4 linked regions of the Macaca fascicularis genome follow. The protein of the gene in region 4 purifies or fractionates together with the protein of the main gene of each other region. This does not show direct contact. Links are inferred from orthologs where the notes say so. Each region holds a gene or a part of one and is shown on either strand. Other genes may lie near its edges. The genes, in order: CEP170, ECI2, ECH1 and MAPK6.

Region 1 (4,306 bases), on a different chromosome or scaffold from region 4:
TGAGATACAGGGGTTCCCTCAGAGCCTACAGACTAATATTGCAGGGCAGTTTGCAAAGCCAAACAAACTTGCTGCCTGTATGGGAGGAGTCAGTTAAAGATCAGCTTTCAATCCAAAAGATCTTTGGGTTGACATGGAAAGTTCACAGGCTGTGATTTTCAGTTTGGCACTGGGCAGAGTAGGGAGTTGGGAGAAGGAAGTAACACAGATGTAAGAATCATGTCGAAGGTACTTTTAAAAGTATACCCCCAGTCTACCAGCTAAGAAGCACTGTGTTAGCAAGCCGCTTTTACTCATGGGGTGTATCATAACCCTTAGGTATGCTGGGGCTGAATAAAGGTTAAAAATCATTTTGATAGGATCCACATATGTACCTATGATTATTCAATAGATAAAGACTCAGTAGAATCAGCAGTCGACTATGGAACCTGCTTGTTGTACCACTGGGGACTTCTAGGTCAAGAGATACACAGGCATTAATGTACAATCCAGCTCTGACACAAACCAAACAACGTCCCTTTCACAGTTTAGAGGGCAGTCTCTTTCATTTTCTCCTCTCCTTTCTCTTCTGGTCTCTATGGCCAATATGTACTCATTTCTTGTTAACTAAGCAACTATTATTTCTATTAGAATGTAAGTTTGTTTCAGGTTACATACACCACCAACATAATTTAAGAATTGTCAAATCACACAAATAATGCTAATTAACACAACTTTATTATATATTTTTCACGTATTATTTAATACATAAAAAATGTCAATTAGTTTATGACATCTAGCCTATTGTCAAACCTATGAACTAAAATATGCCCCACATATATCTTTATTATATTTTTAATTTTTACACTGGGTTTAAAAAATTCCTTTTTATGAGTAATGTGAATGTATAGAACTCTATATTTTATGTATGTCATTACATTTAATCAAATAATATGCTAACAATAAGAATATTTTAAGAAATACCACTTAGAAGGCACTTATTCTAAATTATTAGCTCTTTATACTTAATTCAGTAGTCTATTTACCTTGTAGCTGTTTTTCTACTCTTTTCAGTTCCTGTAAGATAGAAGAAATCTCCTGCAGGGAAAGCAATAACAAAAATTAGCCTCTACTTTAGCTAAATGGTATCCGTTTACAAGCAATGAATTTCACTCTCATTTTATTTGGAACACTTAATATTATCTACATGGTACTTATTACATTAATAGCAACATGATATGAAATAATTATATCTACTAAACAAGATTCAAACTAAAATATTTAAATTACAATGAAATAGAATGATTTTTCAGTGAGATGATTGTAGCAGATGAAAAGTTTAAAGTCATTTACTACTATTTAAGCAAAGTTTTTTTTTTTTTTTTTTGAGACTGAGTCTCACTGTTGCCCAGACTGGAGTGCAATGGTGCAATCTTGGCTCACTGTAACCTCCTCCTCCCAGGTTCAAGTAATTCTCTTGCCTCAGTCCCCCAAGGAGCTGGGATGATAGGCGCCTGCCACAATGCCTGGCTAGTTTTTGTACTTTTAGTAGAGACAGGGTTTTGCCATATTGGCCAGGCTGGTCTTGAACTCCTGACCTCAAGTGATCCACCCTCCTTGGCCTGACAAAGTGCTGGGATTACAGGCGTGAGCCACTCTGCCCGGCCGCAAAGATTTTTAAAAATTCTTATTAATCAACCTTGCAGTGACTATGTAAAAATGCCTTCAAATTATCTTTGTAAAAACATATAAACTGCAACCTCAATATTATAATTGTATTCTGAGCAATGAAAATCTCTACAAATTCTTTTAAAAAGATAAGTATTACATTAAGTAAATGGAAACAACTTATGTCAACTTAATATTTTCAAGTTAAATTTGGTTCTCTTTAAAAATTTCATGTTTCTAATGTTTAATTATTACAAGAAGAATATATACTAGTAAGAAACACAAAAGGCTCCTCCTTCATACCCTCTGCAACTCTGAAACAATCAACATTTTAAACCTGTGAGTCAGTAGAAGCAATACAATTTCCCAAAAGTTTGCATTTATATATTCTTTTGAAAAAGCAAATCAACGAATAGCTCAAAAATAAGGGTATTTTCCTTAAAATAAAACTCTACTAAAATGTTTTAATCTTCAAGAAAAATTACTATACCATGCTTGAGGTTTTCACAATAGGGACTTCACTTTCGGCTCTTAATTTGCTTTCTATGTCATCCCAATTCCGATCTTTGTCTTTAAATAATATTCTATAAATCAAAAAACATAAGCATATAACTTTTTATATTTTAAAAACTTATTACTTTTTTGTTAATGATACCAAAACAACGTATCTTTTCAAAGGTACATGAAGAAAAAAAACCCAACCATTGCATAAATTGAGAATTAAAATACTAAGCCAACAATACCAATTAATGAATGTGTATGAGCTCCAATTGAATGCTTATTAATACATGAATACATTTTTTACTGTTTATCTTATTCTTTATTGAAAACAAAATATAAAACAAATGTAAAGATGTTATGACCTCAAAACTTTAATATTTATAATTTACAATACAGTAATGCCCTCTTATCTACGGTTTCTCTTTCCAAGGTTTTAGTTAGTGGCAGTCAAGCGTAGTCCGAAACTATTACAGTATTTCGGGAGAGGCAGAGGGAGAGAGAGAAAAAGACCACATTCACATAACTTTTTTTTACAGTATACTGTTATAAATCTTCTATTTTATTATTAGTTACCATGGTTAATCTCTTAATGCGCCTAATTTATAAATTAAACTTTATCATAGGCATGTATGTGTAGGAAAAAACACAGTATATTAGGTTTTAGAACTATCTGTGGTGTCAGGCATCCATTGGGTGTCTTGGAACAACATGTATCACCTGATTATAAGGAGAAACGACTGTGTAACTGTCACTTATAAAAAAAATGCAATTTTGTTCAGAGAGAATATATGAAGTATAGGAATAAGTGAGATAAACAGATTAAATTAGGTATAAACAATTGTGTCTGTAAAGACTTCTTTATATAGGAATAAGCACCTTATTGAACAAGAAAAGTGTGTATATTATTTTAAAGACTGAAAATTGGGAGTACTTACTGTGCTTTTCTTTAAAAATTGTTAATTCGTGTTAGTATATTTGTACATAATAACCTATTAGGAATTAGGATGCTATTCTTTTGATAAAAACAATTGCCGATAAAGATAATTATTCTATCATTACCCTAACATCAAATAACTTATAAAATAAAGGACCACAACATTTTGATGTGTCTTCCAAATGTGGGACATTTTTCTCTCTAACACTTTAGAATCTATAAGACATGATTCAGCAGTTTTAGAAAGATGTAAAATACTAGCTACTTTTTTGGTTTCTTTTAAAATTTCTTCAGTACGTCTGGAAATCTAGTGTAAACACTATAAATCTCATGTAAATTTATTACTACTGGAAGCTGAACAGCATTTAAGCAGTAAACTAAGTGAATATTTGTGCTGGTATTTCTTCAAAGATCAACGTACCAGACTTACCTTATGTAAAATCACGAAATTCATTAACATCACATCGAGTCTGGAACATTTGCTTAACGTGACAATGGGTCTAGAATCTGGTATAAGAATATTCTTATTGCCTACTTATTAAATTTTCTAAACTCAAAAAAAATAAACACCCTTGCCAGCCATCTTTTCTAAACTATTACGTTCTTATAAAAGAGTCCTTGCAGCATTAGGACTGATGGAGAATAAGGAAATAATGACTATTTCATGGACCAACTTAGAACTTTAATGGACTTACACAATAAAGAAAGTTTCTGTTTAGCCACACAGTGCTAAAAATTCAGTGAATTTTTCCAGAGGATGGCTACTGAGTATAGTGTTTGTGGATCTAAAACTGTTAAACCATAGACATTTCACCTTTGGTGAAAATGGGTTAGAATAGTTACCTATGGTCCCTGAAAAAAAAATGCGCCACTGAAGAAATAAAAGGTTTATTTTAAAATACAGTTTGTTGGCCAGGCACAGTGGCTCATGCCTGTAATCCTAGCACTTTAGGAAGGCAAACTGGGTGGATCACTTGCTGCCAGGAGTTCGAGACCAGCCTGCGCAACATGGCGAGACCTCGTCTCTATAAAAAATACAAAAAAATTAGCCAGGTGTGGCGCAGATGCCTGTAGTCCTAGCTTCTAAGAAGGCTGAGGTGGGAGGATCACTTGTGCCCAGGGAGGTCAAGGCTGCACTGAGTGAGTGAGCTGTGATCATGCCACTGTACTCTAGCCCGTCTCAGAAAAAAAACAAAAACAAAAAACAACAAAAAAACAAAACAC
Region 2 (5,089 bases), on a different chromosome or scaffold from region 4:
ACATCGGGGAAGTCTTTGGCATTGAAACTTCAAAGCTTTAGGTTTTAAATTTTGTTATAAACATTTCCAAACATACCAAAGTAGAATACGATAATGAATTCCCAATACCCATCATCCAGGTTCAACAACGATCAAATTGCCTTACTTGCTTCATCTCTCTCTCTCTCTTTTCTTTTTTTCTTTTTTTGACAGAGTTTTGCTCTGTCACTCAGGCTGGAGTGTAGTGGCGCAATCTTGGCTCACTGCAACCTGATTCAAGCGATTCTCCTGCCTCAGCTTCCCAAGTAGCTGGGATTACAGGTGCACGCCACTACGTCCAGCTAATTTTTGTATTTTTAGTAGAGACGAGGTTTAACCATGGTGGCCAGGCTGGTCTCAAACTCCTGACCTTAAGGGATCTGCCCGCCTCAGCCTCCCAAAGTGCTGGGATTACAGAAGTGAGCCACCATGCCTGGCCTCATCTATCCTTTTCTTTCTTTTTTTGCTTAGAGAACTTCAACTATCCATTGTTTCACCCCTATATCCTTTAGTATGCACTTCTTAAAAATATCAACATTTTCTTATATAACCTTGACACCATTAACAATGATTTCTAGGTATCTTCTAACACTCTGACCTTATTCAAAACTTCCCCAATTATCTTAAAAATACCTTTTTCAATTGATTTATTCTAATCAAGAGCTAAATAAGGTCTACAAATGTGAATATTATATCTCGTAAGTCTCTTTTACTCTGGCATGACACTGAGGCACTTTGTGCCTTGATAATATTTCAAGGTCTAATATTAAAAAACTTGCGCGCATATACATACATACATATATATATATACACACACACACATATATATATACACACACACACACACACACACACACACATACTTAAGAGGGAGCAAGACAAACCCAAAATATTAAGGCTACATTTTAGTAAACACACAGTTTATCTACTTAAGGAGTCATTTGCCTAAAATTATTTAAATGTCAGACCGTAGGCATTTACCTGCTTATACAGTGAGTAGAGTTTTAGCTTCACTTCATTTCCTGGATCCTTCCTCAAGAGTTTCACTTGATTCATTGCATTTTCAAAGTCCTTCTGACTGGCTCTCATTGCTGTTCTATTCAGGTGCAGCTGAACTACTGGGAAACTAATGACCTGCAGAGAACTACAATTAGGCAGACTGATTTCTATATGTTCCCAACCCTCACATTTCTGCAGCCTGATTTCTAATTGTTCCCAACCCATACATACTAAAATGCTATGTTTGTCCATATTTTCTTTATACTTGCCTCTGCAAACTGGCTGCAAATAATTGGCTGTAAGGATTCCAAGATAGTAACTCAATACGGAAGCTAACAGTACTAACTTTAAATAAATGGAAAAGTAAATAACCATCCAGGGAAGTATTTGTAAGCAATTTAAGATAAAAACAGCCAGAACAGGAATACCATGTAAATTTTGCCAAAAGCAAGAAGTGAAGCGCATGCAAGACAGTGAACAGCAAGAGACCAAAAAGCTAAAGTGCACAGAATTTTGTAACGTGTCCCAAAGTCCTGAAACAGCCTCTGCACTCACTGATAAGCCATAAACTATATCAGGTCAATTCTTGTCTTTTTGCTGGAAAACCGGTTTCCAACATACACACAGGTGGAAGGAAGGGAGAATGGATGTGAATATACAAGAAATATTCAAAAGGGCATAGCAACAGTTGCTGGCATTCCAGACAGAGCCACAGCCTTCTCAGCAGATGGGAGGGAATCTACCTGCAGTGGAAGGGAGTCAGTGAAGGAGGAGGCTCAGCAGGCGTGCCCCCTTTTGTGGGGATGTTTAACCAGCCAGCCAGGAACAGAGCAGAAACAGTAACCACCGCGGGGTGACGAGCAGGTTTTTAAGCACACATAGTGAGCGGGGGTGGGGTGGCAAACTTCAATGCACAGGACTCAGGCAGGCCACAAGCAAAAAATGGATGTTCACGACGATGACCCGGAATAGTAGAGTTAATGGCATCAAAGATGATTAAAATAATACAGGTTACAAAGCCCAAACCTCACACACAAACACAATTACGTAACTCGAAAATGGTACAATGAACTCTAGGTTCAAACTTTGGACTATTAGTAACTGATTCAGTAAGATCAGCCTACAGTAAGTTTTATATTAAAATGATTTTCTGTAAAGGGAAAAACTGCATCTTATATGGCAAATTCCAAGTAGAAAACGAAAGAAAAATTTAAAATGTCCACAAAAAGAAGAAACGTACAAGTTTCCACAAAATGTGGAACAAATTATTTATTTTTAAATAAAGCGTGAGTTTTAAAAACAAATAGCAAAAACACGACCATTTAAGAAATACATAAAGTCGGGAAAATCACTAATAATTTTACCACTTCAAGGCCACCACCGTGTTTCGGTTTTGTTCCCTACACACAGATTCGTGCGGGGTTCCCGGGACCCCAGGGACGTGGAGCGTGCTGCTTAGCCGTGACTGCGTACCCGGCCATTTCACTTTATAGCATACGAGTTCTCCAAAGGGCAAAGAGTGTTAAGTCCACACGAGTGGTAACGGCTTGCGTTTACCTCGCTTTTAGCAAGCAACGCTTTGCACCCCAGAGGCAGCCCGGCTGGGAAGTGCAGGCCCGGGTGTCCGGGGAACCACCGTGCCCAGCTGGGCGGCTCACCCGCCCGGAGTCCGGCCCCCGGAGGATGGGAGCGTGCGCGAACGCAGGCGGAGACCTCGGGGACTGCGGACAGAGAACCATAGCCCTGATCTTCCGACGCGCCCATGCTGACCCCTCTGGGCCCATCGGTGCAGGAGGGCGCGCGAGTGAGGGGGTTATCCTTTAGTACTGCCTCGCTGGAAAACCAGCAAAGAAAGTCCTGTTGCCACCTAGACAATAGGGAAGGAGGGTCTTTCAACGGCGGCGACCTTCGCCTGGACAGCGGTATCCTGCGGGCAACCTTGGGCCGGGAGGCCGGGGCTCCAAGCTTACCTCGGACACCAACGCTCTGCAAGTCTCCAGGCCAAGTGCGCCATCGCTACCCCGTGGGCGGCTCAGGGGCGGGGCCGGGGCTCGGGGGCGGGGCCTGGGCTCGCGGGCTGCGGAGGTTTGGGGGTGGGGCCGGGGCTTGGGTGCGGGGCGGGGCCGAGAGCAGAGCCCAGGCAGGAGCCTGGGGCATGGGCGGGGCCAGGGTTGGGGCGGGGCCAGGCTGAGAACGTAGCCAGGCCGCTTTCGGCGTCAGTAGCCCGTGGGCGGCTCTGGGGCTGCGGGGGCTCGGGGGTGGGGCCGGGGGTCGGGGCGTGGGCGGGGCGGGGTCTCTAGGCGGTCAGGATCCGGGACTGAGATGCGGGGGCGGAGCCAGAGCGAGGCGAGGTATCACCCGGGAGTGGAGGAAGGGCGCGGGGTGCGGGGACGGTGATCCGGGGAGGCCTACGCGGCGCGTGGGGCGGGGCACAAATGCTCCCGGGCCTGGCTCCGAGGAACTGCGAGCTGGAGGCGCGGCTGTTCTCTGGGCGGACCTCAGCAATGCGAACCCTGCCGTTGCTGGAGCACTGAGTGCCCTTCCCGGAGTCCCGCGGAGCCTGGCGAGGAGGGGTCGCTGCATCCCGAGGGCCAGCCGTGAGCCGGGAGATGGGGTAACAATTGAGGGCGTATGCTTAAGAGCAGCTAGGTCATGCACCCCCAAATCGAAGATTTGCAGACCTGGTAGGACACCTGGGAATCAGAAGTGATTTTTGGAGTATGCACCTTTTTAGTGTCAGTTAAGAGTTCGTGGATATTTTTGAGTTCTGCTGAGGCATATGCAAAGTATTTTCTTTGGGGAAGAATTCTTAAGAGTTGGAAGGGCCTTGGCTGTGTCACCTTGTCCAGTTCCCAGAGAACCAAAAAACAAAACAGAACAAAACAAAACCACCCCTCTAAATTCTGTGCCCAAGTTGTCCTATCCAAGCATGCCTAGGCGTTTTAGTATTAGGTAGCTGACACTTGTGGACCATCGATAGTGAGCCAGGCTAATTGTAAGTCTTTGGACAACCCTGTAAGGAAAACGATATTGCCCTTTTGAGCTGATGTGGAAATTGCCCTGTTGAGCATATTGCCCTGTTGAGCTGATGTGGGAACTGAGACCCAGAAAGATTAACCTGGTGAATTCCCCAAAGACATGAGGCTTGCAGGTGAGCAGAATCCAAGTCTCAAGTAACTTTAGCAGTAAGTTTCATCAGATAGATCTGGCTAATAGTGTAGGTAGGGCAACACCGAAAGTCAAGTAGAACAATTTGGGCTTATCCCAAAGCCTTTCTCCAGATACATGTTTTTGTTTTTTTGTTTTTGTTTTTGAGATGGAGTTTCCCTCTTGTTGCATAGGCTGCAGTGTGATGGCACAATCTTGGCTCACTGTAACCTCCACCTCCGGGTTCAAGTGAGTCTCCTGTCTCCGGCTCCCGAGTAGTTGGGATTACAGGCATGCGCCACCAGGCCTGGCTAAATTTTTTGTATTTAGTAGAGATTGGTCAGACTGGTCTCAAACTCCTGACCTCAGGTGATTCACCCGCCTCGGCCTCCCAAACTGTTGGGATTACAGGCGTGAATCACCACACCCGGCCTCTCCAGATATTACAGAGTGGTAGTTGGTAGGCAGAGCTGCCTCTCTCAGAGACCCTGACTCTCTCCAAGGCTGTTAGGTGACCCTCAGAGGTAATGGAAATGCAGTAATCAGATATTGCAGATAATACAAGACTCACTCATTTCCAGAAGATGAAACGGCTGTCGTGGAAATATTTTTAAAATCTCGTACTGGTAAGCATATTTTGATAGTAAAACCTTTTGCAATACAAACTACTCTCAGGCTTATTCCTACCACAGAAAAGAGTGGGGTGTGGGAAATGAGCTTATCTTTTTCAAAGTATAATTTTAAAGATATAGAAAGAGCATGTGTCAGAGATTTACTTAGCTCATTAATTAGGGAACCAACAGGGTGCTAAAGAAGAGGTTAAAAGACTAGTTAATATAGTCCATGTAAAAAAAAAAATGCTGGAATGGATTGCAAAGCTAGAGACAAAACTGGTTAATATCCTACAGAGCAATAAAACCATGAC
Region 3 (5,051 bases), on a different chromosome or scaffold from region 4:
GAGCTTGCAGTGAGCTGAGATCCGGCCACTGCACTCCAGCCTGGGCGACAGAGCGAGACTCTGTCTCCAAAAAAAAAAAAAAAAAAAAGTGAATTTTACCAGTTTCTCTCCTAGCATCCAATTTCATTTCCTGTTAACAGTTTGAGTCTTCTTCCAGAGATATTATATACATATGCCGTATTCTGTGCATGTCCAGCTATACTTTTTTTTTTTTTTTAAAGACAGAGTCACTCTCTCACCCAGCCTGAAGTGCTGGAGCGCAGTGGCATGATGTTGGCTCACTGCAACCTCTGCCTCCTGGGTTGAAGCAATTCTTCTGCCTCAACCTCCCAAGTAGCTGGGATTACAGGCACCTAACACCACGCCCCGCTAATTTTTTTTTTCTTTGAGACCAAGTCTCTCTCTGTCTCCAGGCTGGACTGCAGTGGCGCTATCTAGGCTTACTGCAAGCGCCGCCTCCCAGATTCACACCATTCTCCAGCTTCAGCCTCCTAAGTAGCTGGGACTACAGGCGCCCGCCAACACGCGCGGCTAATATTTTGTATTTTTAGTGGAGACGGGGTTTCACCGTGTTAGCCAGGATGGTCTCAATCTGCTGACGTGATGCACCCGCCTCGGCCTCCCAAAGTGCTGGGATTACAGGCGTGAGCCACCGCTCCCAGCCAGCAGTTTTTTTTTTTTTTTTTTTTTTTGAGACCGAGTCTCGCTCTGTCACCCAGGCTGGAGTGCAGTGGCCGGATCTCAGCTCACTGGAAGCTCCGCCTCCCGGGTTTACGCCATTCTCCTGCCTCAGCCTCCCGAGTAGCTGGGACTACAGGCGCCCGCCACCTCGCCCGGCTAGTTTTTGTATTTTTAGTAGAGACGGGGTTTCACCGTGTTAGTCAGGATGGTCTCGATCTCCTGACCTCGTGATCCGCCCGTCTCGGCCTCCCAAAGTGCTGGGATTACAGGCTTGAGCCACCGCGCCCGGCCCCGGCCAGCAGTTTTAAAGTACTTTTTATGCCTTCGGATAGCTGGCTTTTACCAAGGGAGTTTCGCTTTTTTTTTTTTTTTAAGAACATGAACTTTTTTTTTTTTTTTTTTTGAGACGGAGTCTTGCTCTGTCACCCAGGTTTGAGTGCAGTGGCGCAATCTCTGCTCATTGCAATCTCCGCCTCCTTGGCTCAAGCCATTCTCCTGCCTCAGCCTCCCGCTGGGATTACAGGTGCCGGACACCGCACCCAGCTAATTTTTGTATTTTTACTAGAGACGGGATTTCGCCATGTTGACCAGGCTGGTCTTGAACTCCTGACCTCAGGTGATCCGCCTGCCGCGGCCTCCCAAAGTGTATTACAGGCGTGAACCACGCGCCGGCCTAAGAATATGAACTCTGGAACCATGTAATCCTACTTTAGCCCTTCCGAAGCCCAGAGACCTTGAACCTCGTGTCTTCCCGTGCCTGAGTCAGTTTCCTCTGCATATAGTGGGAAACAGTACGACCTCCCGGTGGGAGTTCATATACAGTCAGCGCTTAATGTTGGCCCGTCTGTACTCATTCCTTTACGTGGGTAAACTCACAGTAATGCAAGTTTTATTTTTAGTTAACATGATATATACACATGCATGATGACAAGCTCTGCTGCCATTATGTCCTTGGACGTTTCAGCTGTCGCCAATTATTCCACCATTATGAAACATAGGTGTCATGAACTTTAGCAGGAGCTATTTTCTTTTCCTTTTTGGACTGAGTCTCCCAAGCTGGAGAGCTGGAGAGCAATGGCTCTATCTCGGCTCACTGCAAGCTCCGCCTCCCGGGTTCACACCGTTGCAGGAGCTATTTTCTCAGGCCAGGTTCCCACTGGGGCAAAGGGTCCTTTTCTGAGCTTGGCTCTAACTATGTAAGGCAACCGGAACTCGGCTGCCCTTAGTAAAGATGGCGGGGAGAACGGCGTCTTTGCCTGTCAGGCTGCGGCATCGGTGCCCTCGCTCAACATGGCGGCCGTTTGTGCCCGCCCCTTCCGCTAACTGGTGGGTTACTCGGTCCCAACGCCGTAGACGAAGGCGGCGGCGATGGCGGCGGGGATAGTGGCTTCTCGCAGACTCCGCGACCTACTGAGCCGACGTGAGTCACCTCTTGACTTATGGTGGTGTATCGCGCTGTCGTGCTGTTATAGCAGCTGTAGGACGGGGAGGCCCATCCGGGGTCACGAAGGGCCCGAGTCCCCTAAATTCAGGGGTGCGTGTGCTCCCTTTTGAAGGGCTCCCTAATTCTATAGGCCTGTGTCTTGGAGTCTGGGGTCATCAAAGGCTCTTCCTTTCTCCGCAGGATTGACAGCCTCCAACTACTCGGGCCTCAGTATTAGCCTTCGCCTCACTGGCTCCTCTGCACAAGAGGAAGCCCCAGACCACAGCTATGAGTCCCTTCGTGTGACATCTGCGCAGAAACACGTTCTGCATGTCCAGCTCAACCGGCCCAACAAGAGGAATGCCATGAACAAGGCCTTCTGGAGGTGTGACCTGCAGATCCTGGAGGCCTGCCTGCTGGGGGAGGCGGGGGCTGCGGGACTGAGCCAGAGTGGAACCTTGTGGGGAGATGGACATGAGGGCAGGGTATTCCCACCCCATTTGTAGCCCTTCACTCGTTGCTTCACAGAGAGATGGTAGAGTGCTTCAACAAGATTTCGAGAGACGCTGACTGTCGGGCGGTGGTGATCTCTGGTGCAGGAAAAATGTTCACTGCAGGTACCAGACGCTCTTCACACACCCTACCAGCCTTCCCAGCTCCTGGCAATAGACAGTGGAGCAGTGCTTCTTAATTAGGATTTTAAGCAGCTTCTAACTTACACTTTTTTTGCTGTTCGTTTTGTTGTGTTTGTTTGTTTGTTTGTTTGTTTTGAGGCAGGGTCTTGCTCTGTTGTCAGTCTGGAGTGCAGTGGCGCAAACTCAGGTCACTGCAACCTCTGCCTCCCGAGTTCAAGCAATTCTCCTGCCTGGGACTACAGGCGCGGGCCACCACGCCCAGTTAATTTTTGTGTTTTTAGTAGAGACGAGGTTTCGCCATGTTGGCCAGGATGGTCTCGCTCTCCTGACCTCATAATCTGCCTGCCTCAGCCTCCCAAAGTGCTGGGATTATAGACGTGAGCCACCACTCCGACCCCTAACTTACAGTTTTATCTGTTTTTTGTGTGTGTGTGGTTTTTTTTTTGGGAGACAGGATCTTGCTCTGTCACCCAGGTTGGAGTGCAGTGGCCTAATCATAAATCACTGTAACCTCAAATACTTGAGCTCAAGCCATCCTCCCACCTCGGCCTCCCAAAGTGCCAGGTTTACAGGCAGGTGCCACCATGGCCAGCCCTATCATTTTTTTTTTAAAGGCCTAATTTAAAACATTCAAATATGAAAATTAGTCCAACAGAACATGACGGGATCATAGGCTCTGAAGTCTGGGTTTCCATCCTGGATCTATGGCCATGAAGAATATGCTTAACCTCTCAGTCTATAGCTGTGTCAGCATATAATATAATAACATGCTTTCATGCAACTCTGCAACTCACTCATTGATTTCCAGTTACAGGTCAGTTGGATCTTTGGATTGACCCACTGACCTGTTCTTCAGATGGGAGAATTTCCACTGATCACAGTTACTGACTCTTTCCTCATCTCTGTCCTCCTGTAAAGCCCACCCAGATTTTTTTGTTTTGTTTTGTTTTGTTTGAGACAGAGTTTCGCTTTTGTTGCAATGGCGCAATCTCAGCTCACTGCAACCTCTGCTTCCTGGGTTCAAGTGATTCTCCTGCCTCAGCCACCCGAGTAGCTGGGATTACGGGCGTCTGCCACCACGCCCAGCTAATTTTTTGTGTTTCTAGTAGAGATGGGGTTTTACCATGTTGGCCAAGCTGGTCTAAAACTCCTGACCTCAGGTCATCCATCCGCCTAGGCCTCCCAAAGTGCTAGGATGACAGGTGTGAGCCACTGCGCCCAGGTACCACCCACTGATTTTAAATTTCAGATATTGTAGTTTTCAATTCTCCAATTCCCATTTGGTTCATTATTTATTTATTTATTTATTTTGAGACAGAATCTCGCTTTGTCACCCAGGCTGGAGTGCAGTGACACAATTCTGCTCATTGCAACATCTGCCTCCTGGGTTCAAGCAATTCTCCTGCCTCAGCCTCCTGCGTAGCTGGGATTACAGGTGCCTGTCACCAGGCCTGGCTAATTTTTTTTTTCTTTTTTGTAGAAGGACTCTCACTCTGTTGACTAGCCTGGAGTGCAGTGGCACAATCTCGGCTCACTGCAACCTCCACCTCCCAGGTTCAAGCCATTCTCTTGCCTCAGCCTCCCGAGTAGCTGGGATTGCAGGCAACCGGCACCATGCCCGGCTAATTTTTATATTTGTGGTAGAGACAGGTTCTCACTGTTTTCGCCAGGCTGGTCTTGAACTCCTGGCCTTCAGTGATCTGCCCACTTCAGCCTCCCAAAGTGCTGGGATTACAGGAGTGATCCATTGTACCTGGTCATTTATTTATTTTTTGTCATGCATGTTTTTCTTTTTTTTTTTTTTTTTTTTTTTTTTTTTGTGAGACGGAGTCTCGCTGTGTCACCCAGGCTGGAGTGCAGTGGCCCGATCTCGGCTCACTGCAAGCTCCGCCTCCCGGGTTTACGCCATTCTCCTGCCTCAGCCTCCGAGTAGCTGGGACTACAGGCGCCCGCCACCACGCCCGGCTAGTTTTTTGTATTTTTAGTAGAGACGGGGTTTCACCATGTTAGCCAGGATGGTCTCGATCTCCTGACTTCGTGATCCACCCGCCTCGGCCTCCCAAAGTACTGGGATTACAGGCTTGAGCCACCGCGCTCGGCCTCATGCATGTTTTTCTTCCTGCCATTGAGCATAGTTATAATGACTGATTTAAAATCCTTGTCTTCTGGCCGGGCGCGGTGGCTAACACAGTGAAACGCCATCTCTACTTAAAAAAAAAAAAAAAAAATCTGGGCGCCGTGGCTCACGCCTGTAATCCCAGCACTTTGGGAGGCCAAGGCAGGTGGATCACGAGGTCAGGAGATTGAGACCA
Region 4 (4,995 bases):
AAGAAATACCTGAGACTGGGTAATTTATAAAGAAAAGAGGTTTAACTGACTCAACAGTTCCACATGGCTAGGGAGGCCTCAGGAAACTTACAATCATGGTGGAAGAGGTAGCAAGCACATCTTAGATGGCAGCAGGTGAGATAGAGAGAGAGTGTGTGTGAAAGAGGAACCGTCTAACACTTATAAAACCATCAGATCGCCGAGCACAGTGGCTCACGCCTGTAATCTCAGCACTTTGGGAGGCTGAGGTGGGCAGATCACGAGGTCAGGAGTTCGAGACCAGCCTGACCAACACGGTGAAACCCCGTCTCTACTAAACATACAAAAATTAGCCGGGCATGGTGGTGCGTGCCTGTAATCCCAGCTCCTCAGGAGGCTGAGGCAAGAGAATTGCTTGAACCTGGGAGGCAGAGGTTGCAGCAAGCCGAGATCGCACTATTGCAGGCCAGCCTGGGCAACAAGAGTGAAACTCCGTCTCAAACAAAAAACAAACAAACAAAAAAACACCATCTGATCTCGTGAGAACTGATTCACCAACATGAGAACAGCATGGGGGAAACCCGCCTCCATCATCCAATCACCTCCCACCAGGTCCCTCCCTCCACACATGGGGATTATGGGGATTACAATTTGAGATGAGATTTGGGTGGAGTCACAGATCCAAACCATATCACCTTTCTACTTCTGCCTTGATCACTCATCGGATTTGGGCAACCCAGAAAAGGCACATCTTCTTGGGCAAGGTAGCTCTCTGCACATGAGGCAAGCCCAGAAGGAAATGGTAGCTGACAGCTGTGTGCTAAGCACAGTCCCCACAGCAGGGCAGCACCTTCCTTGAAGGGGGATCTGGTCAAAACATCTCAACATCCACCACAGGTATCATGTCAGCAATTGACTCTCAAATTGTTCAAGTAAAAATTAATTATGCTATGTACGCAACTTTTCTGTTAGTTTGAAATACTTTAAAAATAAAATGCTTTTAAAACAAATGAACAGACTTACACAAATTAAATATGACTGAAAAAAGGTCTGAAAAAGAGCCTCCTGTTTTTTGTTGTTGTTGTTTTTTGAGACGGAGTCTCGCTCTGTGGCTCAGGCTGGAGTGCAGTGGCCGGATCTCACCTCACTGCAAGCTCCGCCTCCCGGGTTCACGCCATTCTCCTGCCTCAGCCTCCCGAGTAGCTGGGACTACAGGCCCCCGCCACCACGCCCGGCTAGCTTTTTGTATTTTTTTAGTAGAGACGGGCTTTCACCGTGTTAGCCTGGATGGTCTACGATCTCCTGACCTCATGATCCGCCCACCTTGGCCTCTCAAAGTGCTGGGATTACAGGCTTGAGCCACCGCGCCCGGCCTGAGCCTCCTGTTGCTGATACAAAGAAAGGAGCATGATGTTGAAAAGATGAAAATTCATTTGAATGAATAAAATATGGATGGCCAGAAGAATTAGTGAGAGGTAAGAGTGAAACAGTAAATTGAAGCTTCATCTTTGCTGATGCAATATAATTCCAGGCCTTCAGAATAGGGCAAGAATGCAGAATGCTTATTGCCTCACATTTACACTGGCCTTTAATTTCACCTCACCTCTTCTGAGTAGGTGAAGTCTCTTCTAGCTTGCCTTTAGTAGTTCCTGTTCCCTATCTCCCTCTTCCTTTTGTTCCTTTCCTCCTCACGACCATCATGAAAATTGGTCTGTGGAGATCTGAGTCTTTCCTAAGCTTCTCATACTGGGATGAAGATTATTTTTAGGATTAATCTGAGTCACAGAGGGAGGAGGGAAAGAACCATTTTAATCTTTTCCTTTTCACTCCTTCATAACCTGCTGTACGGCTAAATCATTTTACAAACACGTCTTTCCTCCTTTTCCCTAGGAATGCTTTGCCTTTTATTTTTCCTTTGGAAACAGTATCCATAAGCCTTCATCAGAAGCTTCTAAAAGTGGAAGGAATTTTTCTTTGTTAGAATGGACCACGGGCTAAATTAAAGGAGATTGCTATAAGCTGCTTTCATGTAAGTAAATCCATTTATTATTATAGCGGTTGTTGGGATCTGAGGGGTTATATAGTTGCCCCTGCTTCCCTTTCTCACTGGCCCCCTCAGCTATACCCCTGTCTTAGTCTGTTTTGTGCTTTTTATAACAAAATACCTAAGACTGAATAATTTATAAAGGAAAAAAAAATTATTTGGCTCACAGTTGTGGAGGCTGGGAAGTCTAAGAGGGGACGGCATCTAATAAGGGCCTTCTTGCCGCATCATCCCATGGTAGAAGGCGGAAGGGCAAGAGTGATCTCACGAGGGCAAGACACTGAACTCGAAGCTTCCAGCTTTATTATAATCAGCATTAATCAATTCATGGGAGTGCAGCCCCTATGACCTAAACACCTCCCATTAGGCCCCACCTCCCAACGCTGCTGCATTGGGGATTAAGTTGCCAACATACCCTTTTTGGGGAACACCTCCAAACCATAGCAACCCCACTCTGGATTTTCCCTTCTGTCCCTCCGAGGCTGAGTGTGGAAGGCACTCCTGCTTTCTGTGGAGAGATGCAGGCAGAGACTGTGTTTGACCTTCTTCCTTTGCAGCAACACGCTTGAGCATGCCTCATGTTTCACTGTTGGACCACATTTCTTTGAAGGGTAAATAAGCATGTGAACGCTACACTTTAAAAAACATCTCTACCAATTTACACATTAAACACTGAGGAAACAAGGAAGAACAAACAAAACCCCCCTACTAAGTTACCCCAAAAGGTGGGAGAAAGTTCTGTCTTGGATAAAATAGGCACTCAAAGGCTATCTGTTGAATGAATTGAATGAATGAAGAGAGATCTGGGCCAGGTGTGGTGGCTCATTGCCTGTAATCCCAGCACTTTGGGAGGCCGAGGAGGGCAGATCACCTGAGGTCAGGAGTTCAAGACCAGCCTGGCCAACATGGCGAAACCCCATCGCTACTAAAAAAGTACAAAACTTAGCCAGGTGTGGTGGTGGGTGCCTGTAATCCCAGCTACTCAGGAGGCTGAGGCAGGAGAATTGCTTGAACTTGAGAGGCAGAGGTTGCAGTGAGCTGAGATCGCACCACTGTCCTCCAGCCTGGGCGACAAGAGTGAAACTCCATCTCAAACAAACAAACAAACAAACAAACAAAAAAGATCTGGCTTAACTTAGGTGAATGATAGTTTAAACAGGCAAGCTTCTGGCTGAAGATACTAACAACAACCCTTATTTAGAGTAGGTTAGCCTTTTCAGAGTGCTTCCACACATTATCTCATGTACTCCTTGGACAGACCCTGCCCTGCGAGGGAGGGGAGCAGGTGCTATTTATACCATTTTAAAGTTGAGATTAAATGACTTGCCTGGAATCAAACAACTAAGTGGCAGAACTGGGGCCAACACCTAGGTCTGCTGACTACCACTGGCACCAAGGCACCAGAGAGATTCTTCTGGTTTCAGAGTAGAGCCCCCAAGGGTTACTGTTGGAGGACTTGTCTTACTTAAAACTGTCATAGACTGTGTGGAAGCAGACCCATGTAGGAAACATCACACGGCTGAAATGGCCTTAAGCTCTCCAGGGGAGTAAACACCAAGCAGATGGATCTAAATTGAAAAGATAAGCTTCACACAGCTTATGTGAGTGGACAAAAATATGGCAAATGAGTTTCATTCTGTACTGAATTGGAATAATGCATTTAGTATTGTTAGTCTAAAGTCACTTAAAAGATGAGTTTGGAGCTGTGTTTTATTCTAAGAGACCCATGAGTTATTGTTGACTATTTCCTAAAGTCATATAACAATATGCTAGGCCTCTTTGCTAAGAACGTGGAAAACAGAACTGAAAGCATTATTTTGTCTTACATTTGACAAAATGGTAATGAAGTTATACGTGGAATCATGCATTTAATTCTCCCTGGAAACCGTAAAAAAGAGTCTAGTATTTCATACATATACCAGGTCAGAGAAAGAGGTAACTAAAATGACCAAATAGATTTCCTAAGAAGAAAGTTGCTTTAAAAGTAGAATTAAATAAGGGAAAATTTGAAGGAAACCCCTATTCACCTTTCATTTTTAACAAACATTTATTTGAGAAACCACTATATTCAGACACTATGCTCAACACTAGAGTTTACAATGACTAAAACACAGAAGTTCACAATCATTGTGTGAGAATACCAGCCGGGATGAATCATGAGTCCAACTCAGCACAGCTATTCTTGTGTGCTTAATGAATTGGCAGCTGGTTTAGGGTGCAATCTCTTGAACTTGGTTGGTATGTGTTGGTTGCCGAGGCCAATCAACCCTGGTAAACCTGCAATCAAGTTCTTCAAGCAGCAAGTCTGAAGGACTGGACCCTTCATATCAGCTACAGCATAAAGTGAAGTTATGATTTATTAACAGTGTCGTTAACATTTAGTTGTTTACCTGGGTCTAACAGATACCATCCTTCTCTGTGGTCTCAGCACTTCTGAGCTAGGAAGGTGCAGATAGTCCCTGCTTGTGACTGAATTATGTTCCCAAAAGTTGATTTCTAACTTGGTTGTTTGAAACTGAAAATGCATTTTTTTCCCCAGAGAATTAATGTTAGAAATACTGGTTCTGTTCTCAGGCAAACTCTTAGAAGGCCATTTAGCTTTGAGACTATAGAACTGTGACCTACGACATTGTTTCTATGGGAAAATGTGCCCCAGAAGGAACAAGGTCTTCCTTCCTACCCCACTTCCTACCTCCCTGTGTAATGAAGCCTGTGTGTTTACTACAGGAAGTGCTGCTCCCAAGAGTGGGCGGCTGGGCTTTGAGGCAGCCTTGGACACTTATCCCCAAGGGCAGAGATATTCTCACTTCTCCTGCCCCAGCTCTGGCAGGGAGGGGAGTGGGAGCAGGTCGGGAGTCTGTCCCTGACCCATCTTCTTCAGGGCTTCTGGTGGGTGGGGTTCTAGCAAGACTGGCTACATAATTTCTGGGGTCCTTTGTTCAAAAGGCAGAAAAATAAAAATGCTGCTGAGC

What was found.
Region 1: the proteins of MAPK6 (region 4) and CEP170 purify together in Homo sapiens (affinity purification with mass spectrometry; 3 studies listed by BioGRID and IntAct, with this or other methods). This does not show direct contact. The link is inferred for Macaca fascicularis from reciprocal best matches to the Homo sapiens genes MAPK6 and CEP170.
Region 2: the proteins of MAPK6 (region 4) and ECI2 purify together in Homo sapiens (affinity purification with mass spectrometry; 3 studies listed by BioGRID and IntAct, with this or other methods). This does not show direct contact. The link is inferred for Macaca fascicularis from reciprocal best matches to the Homo sapiens genes MAPK6 and ECI2.
Region 3: the proteins of MAPK6 (region 4) and ECH1 purify together in Homo sapiens (affinity purification with mass spectrometry; 3 studies listed by BioGRID and IntAct, with this or other methods). This does not show direct contact. The link is inferred for Macaca fascicularis from reciprocal best matches to the Homo sapiens genes MAPK6 and ECH1.

The regions. Positions count from the first base shown.
Region 1 is NC_088375.1:6,090,571-6,094,876, reverse strand, and holds part of CEP170 (centrosomal protein of 170 kDa), read right to left. Parts: intron 2,232-4,306; coding exon 2,138-2,231; intron 1,078-2,137; coding exon 1,026-1,077; intron 1-1,025.
Region 2 is NC_088378.1:168,909,874-168,914,962, reverse strand, and holds the start of ECI2 (enoyl-CoA delta isomerase 2), read right to left. Parts: upstream 3,052-5,089; 5' UTR 3,032-3,051; coding exon of another isoform or gene 2,988-3,031; 5' UTR 2,802-2,987; coding exon 2,575-2,801; intron 2,059-2,574; exon of another isoform or gene 1,761-2,058; intron 1,163-1,760; coding exon 1,000-1,162; intron 1-999. UniProt on the Homo sapiens protein: Able to isomerize both 3-cis and 3-trans double bonds into the 2-trans form in a range of enoyl-CoA species. Has a preference for 3-trans substrates.
Region 3 is NC_088393.1:45,898,773-45,903,823, reverse strand, and holds the start of ECH1 (delta(3,5)-Delta(2,4)-dienoyl-CoA isomerase, mitochondrial), read left to right. Parts: upstream 1-2,014; 5' UTR 2,015-2,049; coding exon 2,050-2,215; intron 2,216-2,305; coding exon 2,306-2,489; intron 2,490-2,632; coding exon 2,633-2,721; intron 2,722-5,051. UniProt on the Homo sapiens protein: Isomerization of 3-trans,5-cis-dienoyl-CoA to 2-trans,4-trans-dienoyl-CoA.
Region 4 is NC_088381.1:28,454,094-28,459,088, forward strand, and holds the start of MAPK6 (mitogen-activated protein kinase 6), read left to right. Parts: upstream 1-1,804; 5' UTR 1,805-2,008; intron 2,009-4,995. UniProt on the Homo sapiens protein: Atypical MAPK protein. Phosphorylates microtubule-associated protein 2 (MAP2) and MAPKAPK5.